2 linked regions of the Alligator mississippiensis genome follow. The protein of the gene in region 1 interacts with the protein of each later gene in a pairwise test. Links are inferred from orthologs where the notes say so. Each region holds a gene or a part of one and is shown on either strand. Other genes may lie near its edges.

Region 1 (10,318 bases):
GGCGCTGGGAGGGGGCTACAGTGAAATTTGGGGTGACTGCAGCACCCCTGTAGCCCTCCTTGCAGCGCCACTGCTGCCCAGGTGCCGGAAACATAGCCCAGAGTGTGGCCCCGCAGCTCTGAGCACAGCCCCCACACGCTGGAAAGAGCCTGGCGCAGCCCTAGCCCTAGCCTGCAGCTGCAACCTACCCTGTGACCCCCACCCTGCGCAGATCCAGGGCCCATGCCCTTCAGGGGTGCACACAGCAGCAGGAGCTGCTCCCCACACAAGCCGTGGCTCCGTCCCATGCCCCGCCTGATCTGGGCAGTGTCTGACCCAGCCCCACTCCCTCATCACACCTTCCCTCCCCCTTCCCTGTCCACAACAGACTTATCAGCTGCACATCTTAGTCCCCAAAATCTCTATCAGTGCGCCCCTAGAATTTCGTCATTTATTTGCTTTAATTCCTTCATCTTCCTAGCTTCTTGTAATTAGAAATGTACATGGATCCAGAACCTCCCCCCCCAAAGATGTTTAATTTTTTATATAAACAGAATTGTACTGTATACCAGAAGTTCTTATTTCTTGAGGTCAAAGACCTTCAACAACACAGCTGTCATTTCTGTTCATCCTATCATGTCATATGCAGACTGAATTATACAGGTGTTCGTGTCCCTCCTACTTCAACTTGGGAGTGGTTTTGGGAGCTCAGGCATTGGCCAAATTTTCAGGGGAGGAAGGAGAGAAATGCAGATGTAACTACCGGTATACAACTTTTGACTAGCTTACACAGTATTTCATATCGAAATGAAGGAAATAAAACTATTGTATTAGAGAGGGTAGGTGGCAGGGAAGTCTCCCCCAAATGTTATTTTTAGACTAACCATCTGAGGTAAACCACAACCAAAAAAGCTGTTAGTTTGAAGACCCTTAGAGTTCTAACAAATTAGTCTATTATGTTCTAGCATTGCTTTTGCTTTTTTAAATATCACCATTTCCTTCTCTCTTCACTTACAAATGAACACACCCAATGCTTCTGAGACTAGCCCTTGTAGCTGAACAGCATGTAAAGTATGGCCAACAGTTGTACGTTGAGAGGAGACTGGTCACTCACCAATTCTGCCATCTCAGGTTTATCTCAAGAACAGTGGGAGAGGCACAACTAGACAGAGTAGAAACTATTCTGATCTCACCTTCACCAGGTACCCTGACAGTAATGAACCAGGCCTTAGAAACAGAGAGGGAATTACAGCCTCTCTCTATACAGATTTGAGAATCTATTGTACAACCCTTCAGTAATAATACTCATTTTTCCTTATTTTCTCTTACTTCCTTTTAGCAGCCTCCAAGGTATTATGTTTTTGTTAGTTTGCTTTTTTACCTCTTTGGACTTCAAAATTTAGCTAAATAAGCATATTATGTTACATGTCTACCTTTATTAATTCCCCCTTTCAATTTACTAGAACATGTGGACTTGTCAAAACAAACAAATCACCACTAATTTAGCTAAACCTTCTCTGAAACTTTTATTTCTAATAGAACCTGAATCTTCTCTCCTGTTCTGTTATATAAGGCTTATCAGTACAATGGTGGTATGCTACAACAGCACCTCCACAGAAAGAACAATTTCATTTATTAAGTAGAAAAAAAGGCCTTTAAAAAGATCTGACAATTTATTTTATGAGTTAAGGTAGCGTTAATCAGTGACACTTTCCTTGAAAGTCCTTTTCATTCTGGGAAAATCCAATCTGGTTGGGTTTAGCTTTAACTCTCGTTTAACATGATAGTCCAAGTAGCCTGACCTACTTTATAAAACTTGTGTCCATTTAGAAGGCTGACATCATTTTGTATTTTCTTCTCCCACACTTCATTGATTTTCTCCACAAAAAGAAAAAACATCTGCCAGAAGTTCCATGATGAACACAGGGAGGAAAAAACCCACTAAATACTTAATATATTCTTAAAAAAAACATGAAAAACCATTCTAATAGCAGAAAAATATGTTGAGTCTCCACTGAAAGCACCTTTACAGTACTTAATTTTAAAAACTGCAAGACTTGAGATGTTCAAATTAAAGGTGAACTAGTGCAGTAGATTAAGGCTTTCTGATGAGTCATGAGGCAACAAGAAGCTTTGGTGAATGAAGAAAGTGTGTTGGGTTTTTGTTTTATTTTTGTAGTTAGCAGCTCCCAGAATGGTCCTTCTAGTGCCAAAAATCTACTGAATTAATACTTAAACCATATTAGGGGACAGAATCATAATACTGCCTTTGTGGTTAGTGCAGCTAGGCAGTTAATCAAGCTCCCAAATGTTATCAAAAGGTGCCAGGTACAGAACTGTATTAAGGTACCAGGGCAGAATTAATCTACTACCTACACTGCATAACTGAACTATATTGTGTCATGAGGCCCTGTGACAAATATAACCTGGTTACATGTGTAGCTAGTCAAAGATAACCAGGTGCTTGCTTGAAGCAAGCAAACTGATTTTCTCCAAAGAAAAGTATTATCTATTTACCCTTCCACTGCTATGACTACACATCTACAAGTTGAATTCAAGCAACATCACTGAAAGGCATTTTTAGCAGGGTTTAGACAGCTTGTATGGATAAAACTTGTAACGACCTGATCCATGCTAAGGCATTTAAGATCCATGCAAGTCCAAAGCAGATTTACAAACACTTCAAAAAATACTGAATCCTAGCATGTACATCAGTCTCCATCTTCTCATCTACACCACTCCTGTACATAACCTGAACTTCAGCAGTCAAAGGCATATTTGCTTAGGAAAGCCCAGGCATGAAATGCTGAATGCATTTCATGGCTAAAGAGGGGGTGGGGGGAGGGGAAACAAGGTTCCTCCATTTTGGTATGTGAATTTCAATAAAAGAACTCAAAATTAGTCTAGTATTTAATATAACCAAACACTTAATCCTACTTCTTCTGTGATCCCAGCAACATCATACACTGATTAAAGGTTGCTGACATGCCAACCCTATTTTCAAAGGTGTACGCTGCACAAGATTTCTGTCATGTAATCACATCAGACTAACAGTTATTCAGCCTGTATTTTTGCTTAAATGGAACTGTAATTATTTGTATATGTATATCCCAACTCTTGCAAGAGAAAAAAAATTCAGCTGTATTCAAAAGTTGGAATTTTAACTATTTAATGCCAATTGCTCCCCTGTATTGGAAAAGGAGCAAGGATCAGAACACATTAAGGACAATTTTAAGGCAGGAAGGAAAAAGCAGCATTATAAACCTCATTTCAACACGTAACTTATTAGACATAATTTTCTTTTTGTCCAATGAAAATGTAACAGCCAGCCAGGATGAATTAGTAGATATTACTAAAGCCTGAACCTGCAGAGGGAAGCTGCCAAAGTAGTGCTGGTCCTAGCAGTCCTAATAATTACACAAAGGGATGTTAATGCAGAGACGACTTAAAGAGCACCAGAGAGGCAGCAAAAGATAAGCTGTAACTGGACCAACTCCTGGACCCTCTCCGATGAAGTCGTACAGCGAGCACCACCGACCCCGGGCCGTGGGGACCAGAGCAGCATCTGCCCCTGCACTTCCACAGGCTGAGCTGCTGCCGTCCTGGGGTTGTTCTTACCACCGCACCTGCCTGGAGCTCGGTGCCCAGCGCAGCCCTGCCCAGAGCTCTCGGCTCCAGCGAGACAAAACCTCACGGGGCCCACGGCTCCCTTTCCCCCGCCCGGGTGGGAGCCCTTGCCTGCAGGCCCCGGCGGCTCCCGATGCAGCGGGGCAGGCGCCGCCCGAGGCATCCGAGCAGCGGCCACAGGCCTGCAACCGCGGGGGGCGGGGGAGCTGCGGGGGGACGGTCAGGTGACCCGCGCCCGAGCCCAGGCGCGACGGCGGGCGGGAAGGGAGGGGGCGCGCCCCGGCCCCGAAGCAGATCTGCGCCCGCCCGCCCGGCCCGGTCACCCCCGCACGGGAGGGCGCGGCCACGGCATGGCCTGTCCCTGCGGAGGCCGCGTGGCCGGGCCGGGCCAGACCCGCCGCACGTTACACAATGGGGCCGGCCGGCTGGCCGGCCTCCCCGCGACCCCGGTCCGCCCCCCCGCGCCGCGGAACCTTCCAGAACCGCCCCCGGCGCCGGGGGGGAGGGGGCCGGTACCGGGGGAAGGGGGGGGCGCTCGGGCGGGGCCGCGGCCTCTGTCCCGCGCTCGGCCTCGCCTCGCCCCGCCGGCAGCGGGACGGCTCCGCCGCGCGGGCGCGCTCCGGGGCTGCCCTGGGTTCTCCTGGCCTGGCCTGGCCCGGCCCCGCCGCCCCGGCCCGGCCCCGGCGCTCACCCGTCGACGCCATTTTCTCTCCTTCCTCCTCGTTCTCTCAACGTCCGTCCGGGCTCTGCCGCCCGCACTGCGCATGCGCAGCCTTTCCCACCTCGGGTGCTACCACTCCGGGACGGGGGAAAGAAGCAGGAGCCTGCCTCCGCTGCGCCGGGCCCGGCTCGTCCCGCCCTGCCTGTGACGAGCCGTATGGCCCAGCCCAGCCCAGTCAGGCACCCGAAAGAGGGAACGGGAGTTGTCCTCGTGATTTACGTCTGCTGGCTCTCCCCCCAGAGGGTGTGGAATGGTTCAGTCCATCCACTTTAGGGATCGTGGCACAATAGGCGCCCCAGCCGGGAAACGTAGAGCAGGCCTCAGAGGCGGGGCTAGGGCGCTTTTGGCCTTGCAGTCGTTTCAGGCCAAGGGGAGGTTGAGTGACCTTGCTGGAATGCGTCCCCGGGGAGCGCGCGGGGGGTAAGGAGCGAGCCCTGCTCTCGGATTTGCTACCTGCCCAAATACCAGCGGTGCAGACGACGTCAACTGCTTTAAAACCTCATCAGACAGAGCCCGACATCATTGCACAGACTTGCAGCATTGCATGATGTCATGGCATGGAGCTGCTGGGCACTGGCACAAGGGCACCAACTGCAGCGTTGGGATCTGGCGTTGCATTCTCGTGGGCAATAGCAGCAGGCGCAATCCTGGCACGGTGGCATGAGGTTATCACGTGCAAGTCGTTCGCTGACATGCTGGTGAAATGCAATCACCCAGGCTCACCCGGATGTCCTCGTGTGTCAGATGTCAGCATGGTACCATCACGGAGTCACTGTTTGCTGGCATGCTGTTAGGACCAAGAATCACAGTGCCAAGGTGTCTTAATGCAGCGGGTTAATGAAGACCTTTGCCATGTATTGTGGTGCTGCATTGCCAAAATACTGATGTTACACAGACTTTAAAAGCAATCCAGGGATCTGTGACTCAGGGCAGAACAATTTTACATTGTCCAGGACAGGTGACTGTGACAACTTTACAGGTTACCTAGAGTGCAACACACTTAATCTTTGAGGCCAAGCCTATACTCTCTTCACTATTCCAGATTTGTGCCATATAAAAACCTTCCCGCGAGGTAGTTGCATAATTAGACTAAAAGTAAACCATTTTGCTGACTTTCCATCCTTTCTAGCAAAGGTGTCAACAGTATAAACTTAAATATGTACAGTATAGGGGCACCCAAACTTCTGTCTTCCACACTTCAAAATCCACATCATTCCCAGCTCTTACTGTGCATCTCACGTTAGCATTTCTGTTCAATATTTATAAGCTGGATACTTTAAAAGCTGCAAGTAGTAGAAAGTAGATTATCTAGTGGCAGATGTCAAGATCAGCATGTCCCCCATGCCTAGATATTTGATTACCCTAATCACTGCCACTCTATATCTTCAAGGGATTTTCTTCACAACCTGAAAGGAGAGAAACCAGTTCTTATTAAACTAAAACTTAAATTCTGTAGATAATTCATTATCCTCAGAAAAGAGCTTGCTGACTCACCCATGTGTTGGGCAGGAGATGAATTCCCACTCAGAACTGTGGACTGATTTGTTTAAAAAAGCTGACATGCCAACAGAACCAAAGACTGCTACCAGTGTATCTCTGCCTTCCCTTTGTGTTATCATATATGTATGTGCAATCCAGGTACAAAGTGCCAGCATAAATGAGAACAGCAAAGGAGCAAGGCCATGGAGAAGCAGGCCTCAGGGCCCAGTTTCAGCCCTGATGCAAGTTCTTATTGATCTAGGTTTGGAATCAAAAGTTCAGGTAACCACAGTAACTTAAGCCAAAGCACTCCAAATTTACACTGACTTGAACCTAACAGGTGCAGCTTAATGTGAACTATTTAGTTTCCAATTCAAATTTGGAGAGCCTAAGCCTACCTCAAGGAGCCTCTGCTACCAAGTAGGGATTTGCTTCTCTGGAGCTTGTCTTTACAACAGTAAGAAATTGCTATCTCAAGCATTCTTCCTCTAGCAGAGTTTTGTTATGTAATTTAGGTTGCAGCAAGTTAATGGATGAAACAGTAACAATAATGATACTTAGTAATTTCTTAGTATTTCTAATACTTAATGTTTGTGTGAAATGTCATTGATCTGTCCTCAGAACAGCCAGGCGTGGTCAAGTGAATTATTTTTTTCAAATGGGGAAACTGAGGCACAGAATGGGAAAGCAACTTTGATGAGAAACAAGAAGATCTTGTCTCTGAAGTCTGAATACATCTACTACATTGCACTGACTCCTGTTGTCAGGAGGTTTGGGGAATTCTCGTATGTGATTCTTGAATTATCACTGTTACAGTTACAAGGCAATTTATACCCAATGATAATAGGACTAGTGCTGACCTCTAACTGCCTCCAAGGCATTTAAGATGCATGAATAAAGTTTTAGAATTGTTAATATAATTCCCTGCTTGGCAAAAAAAAAAAAAAATCCTGAAGGGAAATAGCTTGCCATCAGTTACTGCCAAATTTGGGAAATGTCTTTTAATGAAAGAAGATTCCAAGCAGGCCCCTTTGGGACAACAGAACAAGGTATTTGGAAGGTCTCATTAACGCTCACTCCCACATGATTGTTCATTCCCCTTCTAGCTCAGAGAGAGGTGAATCAAATTTTCCTGCCTAGGATGAAGGAAACTGATCCTAAAACTCATACACAGGTAAGCTGGAAAAATGTTTGTTGGACAATCTTAATTATTCATTCATTCTCCTCCAAAAGTCTCATGTCATCTGCATCCAACCACCAGTTGCCACAATAGTAAAAAATGTCAAAGATCCACCCAAGTCTAGAAGCATGTTAGCTTCTGTAGCCGGTGGCACACACAGTAGTGAAGTGGTTAGCAACATGTCTGGTTGCCTTTGATTCTCCAGCCTGAATGACCAGGTGCCTGCTTGAACTCATGCCTCTGGAGATGTATCAAGACTCCTTAACCACTTAGCTACCATGTCCCAGCTATTACAGCAATAGTGGTCAGCTAAATTATTTAGTTATTACTTAGATCATCCATGAGGTGAAAATGTACCCTGCCTTCTGCATGACTTCAGACTAACATGGCTAACTACCTCTTTCAATTCTATTATTATGCACCTATAAAAGAATGGTGTGGCCCATCTGTAGAACACTGCACAAGCTCTGGTCACCTGTGCAAGAGCCTGGCTAGTGGTAAAGGAAGAAGAACACAAGGAACTCAGGGATGTCAAACAACAGTGGGCATGTCTACACATGTATCAATGCGCTGTAATTACTGCACATTAAGTTTAATACCTGAACAGGCACTAAATACACAGTAATAAGCACTACTACGCAGTAGCACCAATGCATGTCAATTAAGTGAAGCTAATGTTCAGAAGACTAATTCTACTCTGCATTAGCAGTTTTCACTGTAATGCACAATAGAATCAGTCTACTGCACTTTTAGTATTTCATGTAGACGTGCCCAGTGTGGAAAACACAGCAGGAAGAAAAAAAGAATTGTAGGTCACTGACCCTGAGTAACTACCATTGCCTGGGTATTGCAGCACCATCCCACAATGCACTGCAAAAGTGCCCTGCACTGCATTTCATTGGAAGGTGGTACCACTGGGATACCTACCCTTGGTGCAGTTTGGCAATAGCCAGCACAACCCAAAGGCTGAAGACACGGCACCAACCTGGGCACTCAAGTGCGTGTGCTCTCCAATGACATAATAGTATTGGCTGTTGTAAGCCAACATGCTATGGTGGCCCATCTTTAGTGCAGACCTGGCCTAAGTCCATCTACCTGCCAGTATAAGATTGTTCCCTAGTGGTCACAACATCGGACTGGAAGTTCTTGTCTCTGCTCTGGTTTGAAGCATCTACTCTTTAGACTGACAAGGTTCTTTGGGTAAATGTGATATCTTATTAGAGCAACTAAATAGTTGGAAAAAATGTTCTTTGCAAGCTTTGGATACAAACACCCTTCTTCAGGCAGAGGGAGAGTCAGGTGTTTGTACCTGAAAGATGCAAAGAATAATTTTACCAACTATTTAGTTGGTCTAATAAAAGATATCATATTTACCCAAAGAACCTTGTCTGCCTATGTCCTGAGACCATCATGGCTACAACCAACACCCATGAAATGTAGAAGATACTCCTTAGACTGGCATAACGTGCTCAGTTACTTCAGATGGATACCATGGGAGCTGATCCAAAAATCACTGCCGTAGCTTTCTGCTTCATATCCACTCCGCTCCCACCCCCTTGCCCCCTCCCAACATGCACACAGTCTAGTTAAGCAAGGAGCCTCTCATGACTTTGTTTGCACTTGTATTCATCAGGAATTCTTCCCCCAGTTTCATACAGCTGTGTGTGTGACAGCAATAACATGCGTCAGAAATTGAACTGGGGTCATACCTGAATATGGGCTTAATTCCTGCTTTCCCTGAACTGCCCTCTTATACTCTATAGGATCTCAGCTTCCACCAAGGAAGTCTCTGTCCCTTGTGTCTATAAAAAAACTTCAAAGTGATGCCTGGTCCCTAAAACAGTGATTCTTCCTCGAGTCTGTCAAGGACCTGAAAGGGTGGAGTAGTGCAAATGGCTCCAGTCACCTCAGTGAAGATTTATCTTAGAGGTCCAATGATTGTAGTTTAAATTTAATTGCAGCTCACTACTTCGCTGCTAGAACTGAGCAGGGAAAGAGCAGTCCTACAGATCCAAGGATAGGAGAGTGGGGGTGCTCAGTACCAACCTCAGGCTTCTTTACTGAGCAGCCTGCTGGCCTCCTCCTTGCAGACACATCTACCCACCCCTCCTAGCCTTCTGTTCTCCCACAGATTCCCAAGGTACCCCAAAGTCCTTTTACCCTACCCCCTTCTCCACGCTGGTCTCTGGCTTTTCCCCCAAGCTATCCAGCTCCCCCCAAACATCTTCACAAACATGGCTCACTCAACTTTTCCCGGCAGCCACTGCAAACCTTGCCTTCCTCTGTTTCCTTGACTTTTACCCTCAGTTTGCTATCCTGAGGCAGCCAAAGAGACCCAGCTCCTTTCCCTCTTGCCTCCACAACACAACTTCCCCCAGCCAACCCCTCTGACAACTGCTGCCACTGCCAAGTTCTGTGCAGCTCCATATACTAAACCTTTGGGTACTGCTCAAGGTAAAGGTTATATTATGGGCATGCACAAATCGCATGCAAATTATTCAAAAAGCTAATTTAAATACTTGGAAATAGCTTGTACACAGTGGGCCACAAACCAAGCAGCTGTGAACTCACTGCATCTCATTTCTAGAGCTTGGGAGGATGGGCCCTGGCTGGTAGATAGAGGTTGGCATTGGCACAATGCTCTCCCGTGTGGACCCTGCGAGCCCCTGGCAGAAACCGGGGAGAGGCCTGGGACAGCAAGACCTAGAATACCCTTGTACTCTATGATGTAAGGTGGCCATCATAGAGGACCGTCTGGTTGTCCTCTGTCCTCTATTGATAGGAAACCAGATGCCTTTATGTCCTCTATTTTTCCCTTGAAGAGAAAAATAGAGGACATAAAGGCATCCAGTTTCATATCAATAGAGGACAGAGTAGCAGAAAAATGGAATGTCCTCTAGGATGGCCACCCTAACTCCTATACTTGCTAGTAGAAATGCAACCACACTGGAGTTTCTTCCCACCCACTTTAAGTAAGGGGCTTCCACAGCTACTACAAAGCAAATAATTAAGTATTTCCACATTCATACTGATTCCCAGAGCTGCTCAGTTTGAAATAAGACCAATGTATAATATTACATTTCCACTTCTCTCCATTCAGGGAAGTCTTGGACTCCACCAAAAGTTATTCCTTGGCTGACTGGAAAAGAAACAAATGACCACAAGCTTTGGATGATCTTTGTTTACAATAAGTTGGTGACTCCTGCTCATGCATTGAACAAGCTAATCAAAGATACTGAGTCCAGGTGGCCAGCTGGGTTAGCATGGTGTAGGCACACAAGGCAGCAACATCATAAACTTCATGTCCAACCCACTTTGACTGCTCAACCAAA
Region 2 (9,769 bases), on another chromosome or scaffold:
AATGCATCAATTAAAAAAAAAATCACGAAGCAAAACATCAGACTGACTCCTGAAAAATCTCATGAACTATTTTAAAAGTACTTAACCTGACACCATCCAATTATTTTACTTAAAGTTAAAGGACTCAGTTACAGGGAAGCAGCAAATAAATGCACTGACTGTATCTTGTGCAAAAGGTGGGGCTAGCCGCAAATGGAATTTGAGTTTCAGCTTGAATAGTTTTGCTACGTGCCTCCTAGATGAGCATTACACAAGTACTATTAAGTGTCAAGAGGAAAAAAATGAAACCAACTAAATTAACTGACACAGTTTTTGCACCAGAGTTTAGAGGCTAAAGCAAGTTTCAAATTATTCTTTTTCAGGGGCTGGGAGCAGAGGAGTTATTATGGTTTAAATAGTTTGGCAGGGAACAGGAAAGATTACAGAGTTAGCAACATTGATGTCAAAGTCCTGTCTTTATCCATTCTGCTGCAAGATAAGTCTATAAAAACAAAGGGAAAGGCCCCTCCTCTACCCTTGGAAACTGTCCCTTCTTCCCAAGAGTAAGTTTTAGCACAGGGACTCGGTAGCTTCAGGCCCTGGGGACAGATCCAGTTGCTTTGACACCAAATCAACCCAAATCTTTACCCAGGACTATCAGGGTTAATTTGGAGCCTGCCCCTGAATGTTTCCCTCATCATTTACCCATAGCCGACCCTCGGAGGGTCTGCTAGACCCTCTCATTCCTCCCCCAGAGAGACAACGTACAGCTTTGCAGCAGACTCCAATCTTACCCACCAACAAACAGATATGTAGAGGCCTCCAGGGAGACTATGAAATCCTTCTGCCTTTAGAAGCCCTCAGGTCACAGGAGAGCCAGCAAACTGCCTTCACCCTCCAAAATCACAAGTGGCCAGTTTAACCCAGTTCACTGAACAGAATAAACTAAAACAGCAAAAGGACTTCCTAGCTAGTATAACTGCACCTACATTATGGGTTTTGCTCTGCACAGATATGCCAAAGACTCCAATGTTTTTTTCACAGTCCAAACAAATAATAGTGGTGGCAAAACCACAAATGTAGGATCAATTGTAAAAGGGACACCCTAAAGTTTATCCCACTGCCAAGTTTCTACAGCTCTTTCCTTCAATCACTGTGTCAGTCTATCAAGCTTTTCCTTTCCCACGTTTCATGATTTATCAAAGGACAGGCCAACACACCCTATATGCATCATCGACTCTGACCTCACAACCATGCATCATTATGAGACTATAAATATGACTAGTACACGTGGAGGGAGTAGATTAAGCAGTTAGATCATTCATCATTAGCAAGTTAATCTCGCTTTCGATACCACCATTATCTTCGTGCCAACTAGAAAAGGGCTGGAGTAGGGGTTTTAAATCTTATCAGAAGTTTCCAGACTATTTTGAAGGTAGACATAAGAAGAACAAAAGGGCAAATGCCATAAATACACAGTCAGTGGTAACAATTACCTAGGATTCCAAGAAGACAAAGTAAATTTGCATATAAAGGGAATCATTCTTCAAAATAATTGTCTCCCATCATCCAACCCCCCCCCCCCAAAACAAACCATTTAAGAGCCTTGGTCTGGCAGGCATGTAACTTCCTCCATACTAATATTTCTTGTCCTTCCCCTGTGGGATTTCTGCTCATTGTCTCATTACATTTTTGTTCTTCCACCATCTGTTTGCACTGGGCAGCCAATTCTCAGCTCCATAAAGCTTAAGGCCGGAAGGGACTTTGTTGCACATGACTAAAAGGACATCCTGCTACCCATATAGCGAACCCAATAACCTGGGTTCAACTGAAGTGTAATTTGTATTCGGTTAGAACAGCGGTCCCCGGGTTTTCGGAGCCATGTGCTAACTTAGCCACTGCTGCTTCTCCCTGCCCTCCAGCTGCAGCGTGGACGCAGCTCCCAGCCACCTGGCCCCACGGCTCTGCACGCCAGATCTATATGGGCCATATGTGGCCCACCCCTGGGCTAAAATATTCCTTCCAGAAAAGTGTTTAGTGTTGATCTGAAGACAACGGATGGACAATCCCATTATTTCCATGGGCAGGTTCAATCCTTCCTGTTAAAAATGTATGCCCTATTTCCAGTCTTAATTGACCCAATTTCAGCTTCCAGACGCTGATTTTTGTTAGGTATCCAGGTTGCAGCTGTATTGGTCTAGAGGAAAAAGCAACTGGGACTTGTGGCAGAGGTGGTACCTTTTATCAGACCAACTAGATTTTTGCAAATAAATAAATAAATGCTTTAATTGCAAGTTTTTGGGCACAAACACTCATCAGGCATTGGAGAAAAGATTGTAAAAGTTCTCCTGGGTAGAAATGCAAGTTCATATTTCATAGGATTTCACAGAGGAGTCAATAGATACTCCTCTGGGCCCACCTTTCTTAACTAGTAAGGTGTAATTAATTGCCTGCCCAGAGTGACAGTCCATCTATTGATGACTCTGTATGAAATATGAACTTTCATTTCTACTCAGGAAAACTTTTACAACCTTTTCTCCAACGCCTGATGTTTGTTACCAAAAGCTTGCAATTAAATAATTTATTTTTTTTGTGCAAAAACCTACTTGGTCTAATAAAAGACATGAGCCCCGACTGATTCCTGTTAAGCCTTTTCCCACTAGGTTAAAGAGCCTTTTACTACCTGCATTTTCCTCTTGGACAAAGTGCTTATATGCTATAATGTGCTTTGTATACATTAAAAGGCAAACAGGACTCATAATAATGATCTCTTTTATTAAACCAAGATTTTTGCAAAAATTAAAGACATTTTTAACTGCAAGCTTTCAGGCACAAAATTCAAAGCTTGCAATTAACGATTTTTTCTCTTATTTTTGCAAAAATCCAGTTGGTTTAATAAAGGAAATCACCTCTTGCACGAGTCCCGATCGACTCTTGTTCAGCCTTTTCCCGCTAGGTTGAAAAGCCCTTTATTACCTGCATTTTCCTCTTGGACAAAGCGCTTATACGACACGCGGGGCGGGGAGGGGCGGCGCTTGGTAGCCGCGTCGGCCCCAGACGAGACGACGTACAAAAAACCATGACTCTTGGCTGCAAAACGATGCCTGTTATTAAACCACCTGGGAAATCGCAAGAAAACGGTCCTTGCCCGATGACGGGACTTTGATCCCCCAAAGCTTGTAGAAAAGCACCATTTTCTTGCGATTTTCCCCAGCTGGTTTAATAACTGGCATCGTTTTGCAGCCAAGTCATGGTTTTTTGTACGCTGTGATGTTTATACCTGCAGGAACCTCGGCGGCGTCGCCCCAGACACGCCCGTCTCCATGCGCGTCCGGCACAGCGCCTGCCCCTGCCCCGCCACGAGGGACCCCGGCCCTGGCCCCGCACCATATTTCTGTCATTCGTCAATTTTATCAGCAGTTGGGTTTTTATATTTTATTTTATTTCTATTTTATTGTTTTACTTTATTATTCGCGAACACGTCCCCCCGCGTCCAGACCCAGCGCTGTTCTCCACTGCCCCGCCCCGCCCCGCCCCGCCGGCAGCTTCGCCTGCCCACACACGAGCGGGGTGCCGGGGCCTCCTGGCGGGCGTCGCCCCGCGCGTGCCCGTCGCAAACCGGCCACCACACGCACCCCCGGGGAGGAGCGGGGGCGGGGGAGCCCCCCCCTTACCTAAGGCGGGACGGGGACGAGGAGGAGGAGGAGAAGGGCGCGGAAGCGGCCCGGCAGCGGCGGCGGCGGCGGCGCGACCCAAGCGGAAGCGGAAGCGTGTCCTGACCCCGCTCCGGAAGGGCACGACCGCTCGTCCCGCCCCTTCCGCACGTCAGCGCCCGCCGCGTCACGTGCTGGAATGCGGAGGGGAGGGAGTCACGTGGTGCGGGCCGGGCCGGGAGGAGGGAGGCCTCTAGCGGCGGCGCGCGGAACTGCGGGGGGAGGGGGCGGGTCCGCCCATGAGCCACCTACGTCCACCCACCGCACTGCCATGCACACACACACCCGCCCACGAATCAATCCGTGCACACACCCATCCTTCCTTCCATCCACATCCATGCACACACCCACCCACCCAGCCACCAATCAATCCATGCACACGCCCATCCTTCCTTCCTTCCATCCACCCACCCGTCTACATCCATGCACACACACACCCACCCACCCACGAATCAATTCATGCGCACACGCATCCTTCCTTCCATCCACCACCCACCCACCCACCCAGCCACGAATCAATCCATGCACACACCCATCCTTCCTTCCTTCCATCTACCACCCACCCACCCATCCACATCCATGCACACACCCACCCACGAATCAGTTCATGCGCACACGCATCCTTCCTTCCATCCACCACCCACCCACCCACCCAGCCACGAATCAATCCATGCACACACCCATCCTTCCTTCCTTCCATCTACCACCCACCCACCCATCCACATCCATGCACACACCCACCCACGAATCAGTTCATGCGCACACCCATCCTTCCTTCCATCCACCACCCACCCACCTGTCTACATCCATGCATACACCCACCCACCCAGCCACAAATCAATCCATGCACCCATCCGCCCACCCACACAACCACCCAGCCACAAATCAATCCATGCACACCCCCTTCCATCCATCATCCACCAGTCCATTCACACCCACACACCCACCCAGCCACAGGTCAATCCATGCGCACACCCATCCTTCCATGCATCCATCATCCACATCCATCCATCCACCCAGCCACAAATCAACCCATGCACACACCCCTTTCTTCCATCCATCCACCCACCCAGCCACGAATCAATCCATGCACACACCCATCCTTCCTTCCTTCCATCTACCACCCACCCACCCATCCACATCCATGCACACACCCACCCACGAATCAGTTCATGCGCACACCCATCCTTCCTTCCATCCACCACCCACCCACCTGTCTACATCCATGCATACACCCACCCACCCAGCCACAAATCAATCCATGCACCCATCCGCCCACCCACACAACCACCCAGCCACAAATCAATCCATGCACACCCCCTTCCATCCATCATCCACCAGTCCATTCACACCCACACACCCACCCAGCCACAGGTCAATCCATGCGCACACCCATCCTTCCATGCATCCATCTTCCACATCCATCCATCCACCCAGCCACAAATCAACCCATGCACACACCCCTTTCTTCCATCCATCCACCCACCCAGCCATGAATCAATCCATGCACATACCCATCCTTTTATCCATCGTCCACCCACCCATCCACTTCCATCCACCTACCCAGCCACAAATCAATCCATGCACTCATCCATGCACACACCCATCTTTCCATCCATCCATCCATCCATCACCCACCCACCCATCCACATCCATGCATCCACCCACCCACCCAGGCATGAATCAATCCATGCACACACCCATCCTTCCTTCCATCCATCACCAGCCCAGCCATTGACACCACCATGCATTCATCCATCATCCACCCACCGACCCAGCCATGGGTCCCTCCATCCACCTATGGATCCATCAATCCACCTATGGGGCCATCCATCCACCTACCTACCTCTGCCCATCGCCACCATGGTAGTGTAGGAGTGATATTGTAGGGACGACGGACTAGAAACTATGCCAGAGGCAAAGATTTCTTCAGGTGGGATCTTCCATTGGGCTAAATGCAGTTGGGATAAACTACATGGTTGGTCCAATACAAGACATCACCCTAAGAAATCCTTGCCTTCACATCTTGTAGAAGTAGATTTGCACCCTATAGACTAACCAACAGCAAACCTGGTTTTCTCTGATTTTAAAAAATATCCCCAATTTTCCATTTAAAAAAAGTAACCCCAAATCCACATTTTTCCATCATTAAAGTGAAACACCGCTCTCTCTCTCTCTCTCTTTATTGGTGTTTCATTTAAATCACAGAAAAACATATATTTTTTTAACTGAAAATTGGGGATGTTTATAAATCAGAGTAAACCAGGATCCCTGCTAACCAAAGTACACGCATGTGTGTGTGTGTGTGTGTGTGTGTTTATATATGTAAATGTGTATATGTATGTGTGTTTATCTATATGTGCATACAGTATTCATGTGACATGATGTTTATGTGTGTGTGTGTGACTAACCCAATATAGAAGGTTCATTGCTTGTTAATAGCAAGGCCTCTGGACAGACGCGTGTGTACGTGTGTGTGTATATTTATGTACACACACACACACAAGCTTCCATGAGCTGAAGCTCACGTCATCAGATGCCATGAAAGGATGAACACAAAGCAGTGTATAAAAAGAAGAGGGGAGGGGACAAATGCTAGAAGAGGCAAACAAATAAGCAGTAACGAAGTGAGCTTCAGCTCATGAAAGCTTGCACCATACATAGTATACAGGGTCTTCATCAAGTCCTTCTGCACTTGTAAACTTCAATAACTTAAGGTTGTGGGTATGGTAAAAACAATCTGTAAACAGCATTGAAAAGCAAATTTATTAAAGTTTTAGGACAACTGGAGTACACAACGCTAGACTTCAACATAACCACCGTCCATCGTGATACAGTGCTCAATCCGATTTTCCAACTCCTTGAAAACATTTCCCAGTTGCTCTTGAGTTACTGCACTAATTGCGTGGGTGATCCTAGCCCTAAGTTCCACCAAAGAACGTGGTTTTGACAAGTAAACTACGTTTTTAACAGGTCCCCATAAAAAGAAATACAACGACGACAGGGCAGTCGATTGGTCCACCTCTGCCTACCCACTTCTCTGGGGAAAAATCATTTAGGAACTGTCGTACGTTCAGAGTATAGCGGCACGGAGCTCCATCCATCACAGGTCTCTCTCTCCACCTCGTGTACCTCGTGCTGTGCTGTCCAGAGCCCTGCCAGTAACCTTCTATATGGTTTTAATGTCACAAATTACAATGAAATTCGACCTGAAATGCATATTCTCTATTCTGCAAATGTTTATGGGTGTGATTATTCTACGGGACTGCTGGTGGCGGTGAGGTTCAGATAGCATATACGAGTCTATAGGATCGGGACTCTCATCCCATGCTCGTTGCTGATGTCCCCGGTGTGCCTCTATTATAAATGCTCAAGGTCCTGACCTGCTCCCCTTGGCAGACAGTGGGGAAAACACTTCAACAGGAGCAGGCACCAGTGTTATTGTAGCTGGAGGAATTAAAATGTAGTAAGTTCGCTGATGCCGCTTATTTGCATCAAACACTGTTTCCTAAATCTTAAGCCCCAATTCTTTTATGAAGCAAACGACCATTTAATATTATCCCTGATCCTCAGTTCACTCAGCATTTAACCAGGTATCTAAAGCCCGTTTTCAAATCCTTTTCTTCTTTAATGTTATCTTCGGGCTTTTTGATGGATTGGCCACGATCTTTATCACTGGTGGGTCTACCAAGAGGACCCCCCACTTGGAAAAATAAAAAATTCGAATAATAGTCAAGCTGTCCTTTTTCCCAGCACTGCGCCATTCACAACAGCTGATTTCAAACTAGAAAAGTCCCATATACTCCAGGGAAAAGGGTCCCCACATGCACAGCATACACAGCAGTGACAGCAGGAGTTCAGACGGCGCCTGCATTTTACTTGAACAACACAATAGCTAGAAATGTTAATGAGCAACTAAGGAAGGTTGCGACGTCTTACCGTAAAAATTGAACCAGACTTGCCATCCATCAACAACTCGACAAGTCTACTAGCATGCAGCTAGGGACAGGTGATGTGTTTTATGCATATGTCTTTCTTCCCTTCACAAGCAGCAGAAAGGACCCTGTTTTTGCACAAAAATCCATTGGTACCTCCTGTTTGCCATTTATTTCAACACATGCAGAAGGAATACGTGCTTTGAGAAAAAGTAGCCTTATGGGTTTTGTGTGCAACTCTTCTGTGTTACAGTCGGGAGTTGGTAAGCATGTATGTGTGTATACACACACTCCCTGTATTTACCAGACAACACTACTTGTGCATTGTAAAACATTTGGGAAAAAAAACTAACACAATCGAATAAAAGCCCATTCTTATCACTGGCAGACAAGGTTCTTTGGGTGAATCTGATATCTTTTATTAGACCAACTCAGAGTTGGAAAAATTCTTCTTAGCAGGCTTTCGGGTGTAAGTACCCTTCATCAGGTTGAGGAAGCATCTGCAGCTGGTGTACACCCCTGTTCCTACCACTTGCACGTGGCTCTCACTGAGGTCAGCAGAAGCAATAGAAAACCGATGGCTTTTTTCATTCCTTAATGAAGAACATGTTTTACACTGTTTTCCAGGCATGATTTTTGAAGCTTGGGATTGTATCATGTGAATGCGGATTTTGGACAGGATGTGATTAAACACAGGCTGCATTACAGGTATGCACTGCAGGGATTTGATTCTCTTTTAGTGGCAGTGTTGTCATTCTTAGGCACTCGCTGTGGACTGGGGTTTGGAAAAGATTATTGGATAATACTTACTCTAAAATCGAAGGCATGAATAACGAGTATCAGCAGCATCGTGATCATGCGAGGAACATTAGCAACTTCATTGCCCATAGATACCTACATGGCTACATTAGGGTTGGAGGGATTTAAATACTGGTAAATGAAAATTTGTACCCTTCACCTTATGTTTTCAGTTATATTTCATGGTGTTTGTATTTTTGCATTCCTAAACAGTGAGACGTAAGGGACAGCAGGGAAGATCTGGAGATAGGACAAATATCAGAGAGGAATTCTCATCGCACCCTCCGGGCTGTGTGCATCACAAACAAGGCACCTAGAATAACAACACGGGCTTCTTTTGCACATTTGCATAAATCCAGCTCTTCAGACCCAAGAAACCCATTGCAGAATGGAGAGGAGGCCTCTTTTTAATACCCAGCCAAATAAAAGGATTTTTTTTGCACAGTTCAAGTTAGAAAACTGATTAGTCAAGATAGGACAAAAATGCCAATCACTCAAAATAGAGTAGAATCATAAAGTTATAAGAAAATAAACTGCGGATGTATAGTGCTGGTTCTTACTGGGGTATCCTCCTGCAGTTTTTATATTCAGGCCTCACTGTGCACTGGGAACATCATGCACTTGAAAGAAATAGCGGAGCCACCCTGAAGCTAGATTTTAAAAGGCTACCAGATGGTATGTTCAATGCATGCGGTAAGCTTTTATGTGCTTCTCCCCTATGGCCAATCACTGCCTGATAATTTATTTCATAACCCTCATAAAATAAATCACTCTGAAAATCACGATCTCTTGAGCTAATACATGCTCTTTCTCTAGGCAAATCCTCGTTGCTGGGAAGATAAAGTCATAAACCTGGTTCAAAGGGCAATACGAGGGAATATCCATTCTCTTTAGAAAAATCAGATGGACTGGATTTAACCGGAAAGGAAACATTGCCATCTGATTGTTCCAAAATTATGAACGGGTCAGCTGTCACTAGAGACATTTTTTGGATAACCTCTGAGATTCTGGCTAATTTTGGATAACTCCTAAGTGTGGGACTGTGGAATAGGTGGGACCCCGATTAGCAGGAGTATAACTAAGGTGTATGAGCGGAGGGAGTTGTAGCCTCAGGCACCAGGTTTGAAGAGGTACGAGGATGGCAGCCGCTGCCTCCGCTGTAGTTTCTGGAGGCTTGTGATGTGGACATAACTTTTTATTATTTATAAAAACATACGCGACTATTTACAGTGCAGAGGCAATAGTTTTGCTGCTGCCCTTGCACGGGCTTTGCGGCTGGCTTAATCCTGTTCTTTGACCTGGAAGATCTGGCTGACCTCACCCAGACCGTCTCATGGGACACCA

Evidence for each region.
Region 2: the proteins of EWSR1 (region 1) and MAPK1IP1L interact in binary tests that used the Homo sapiens proteins (3 or more experiments, as listed by UniProt). The link is inferred for Alligator mississippiensis from reciprocal best matches to the Homo sapiens genes EWSR1 and MAPK1IP1L.

The regions. Positions count from the first base shown.
Region 1 is NC_081833.1:26,354,960-26,365,277, reverse strand, and holds the start of EWSR1 (RNA-binding protein EWS), read right to left. Parts: upstream 4,400-10,318; 5' UTR 4,311-4,399; coding exon 4,298-4,310; intron 1-4,297. UniProt on the Homo sapiens protein: Binds to ssRNA containing the consensus sequence 5'-AGGUAA-3'. Might normally function as a transcriptional repressor. EWS-fusion-proteins (EFPS) may play a role in the tumorigenic process.
Region 2 is NC_081825.1:299,288,916-299,298,684, forward strand, and holds the start of MAPK1IP1L (MAPK-interacting and spindle-stabilizing protein-like), read right to left. Parts: upstream 3,825-9,769; 5' UTR 3,654-3,824; intron 1-3,653.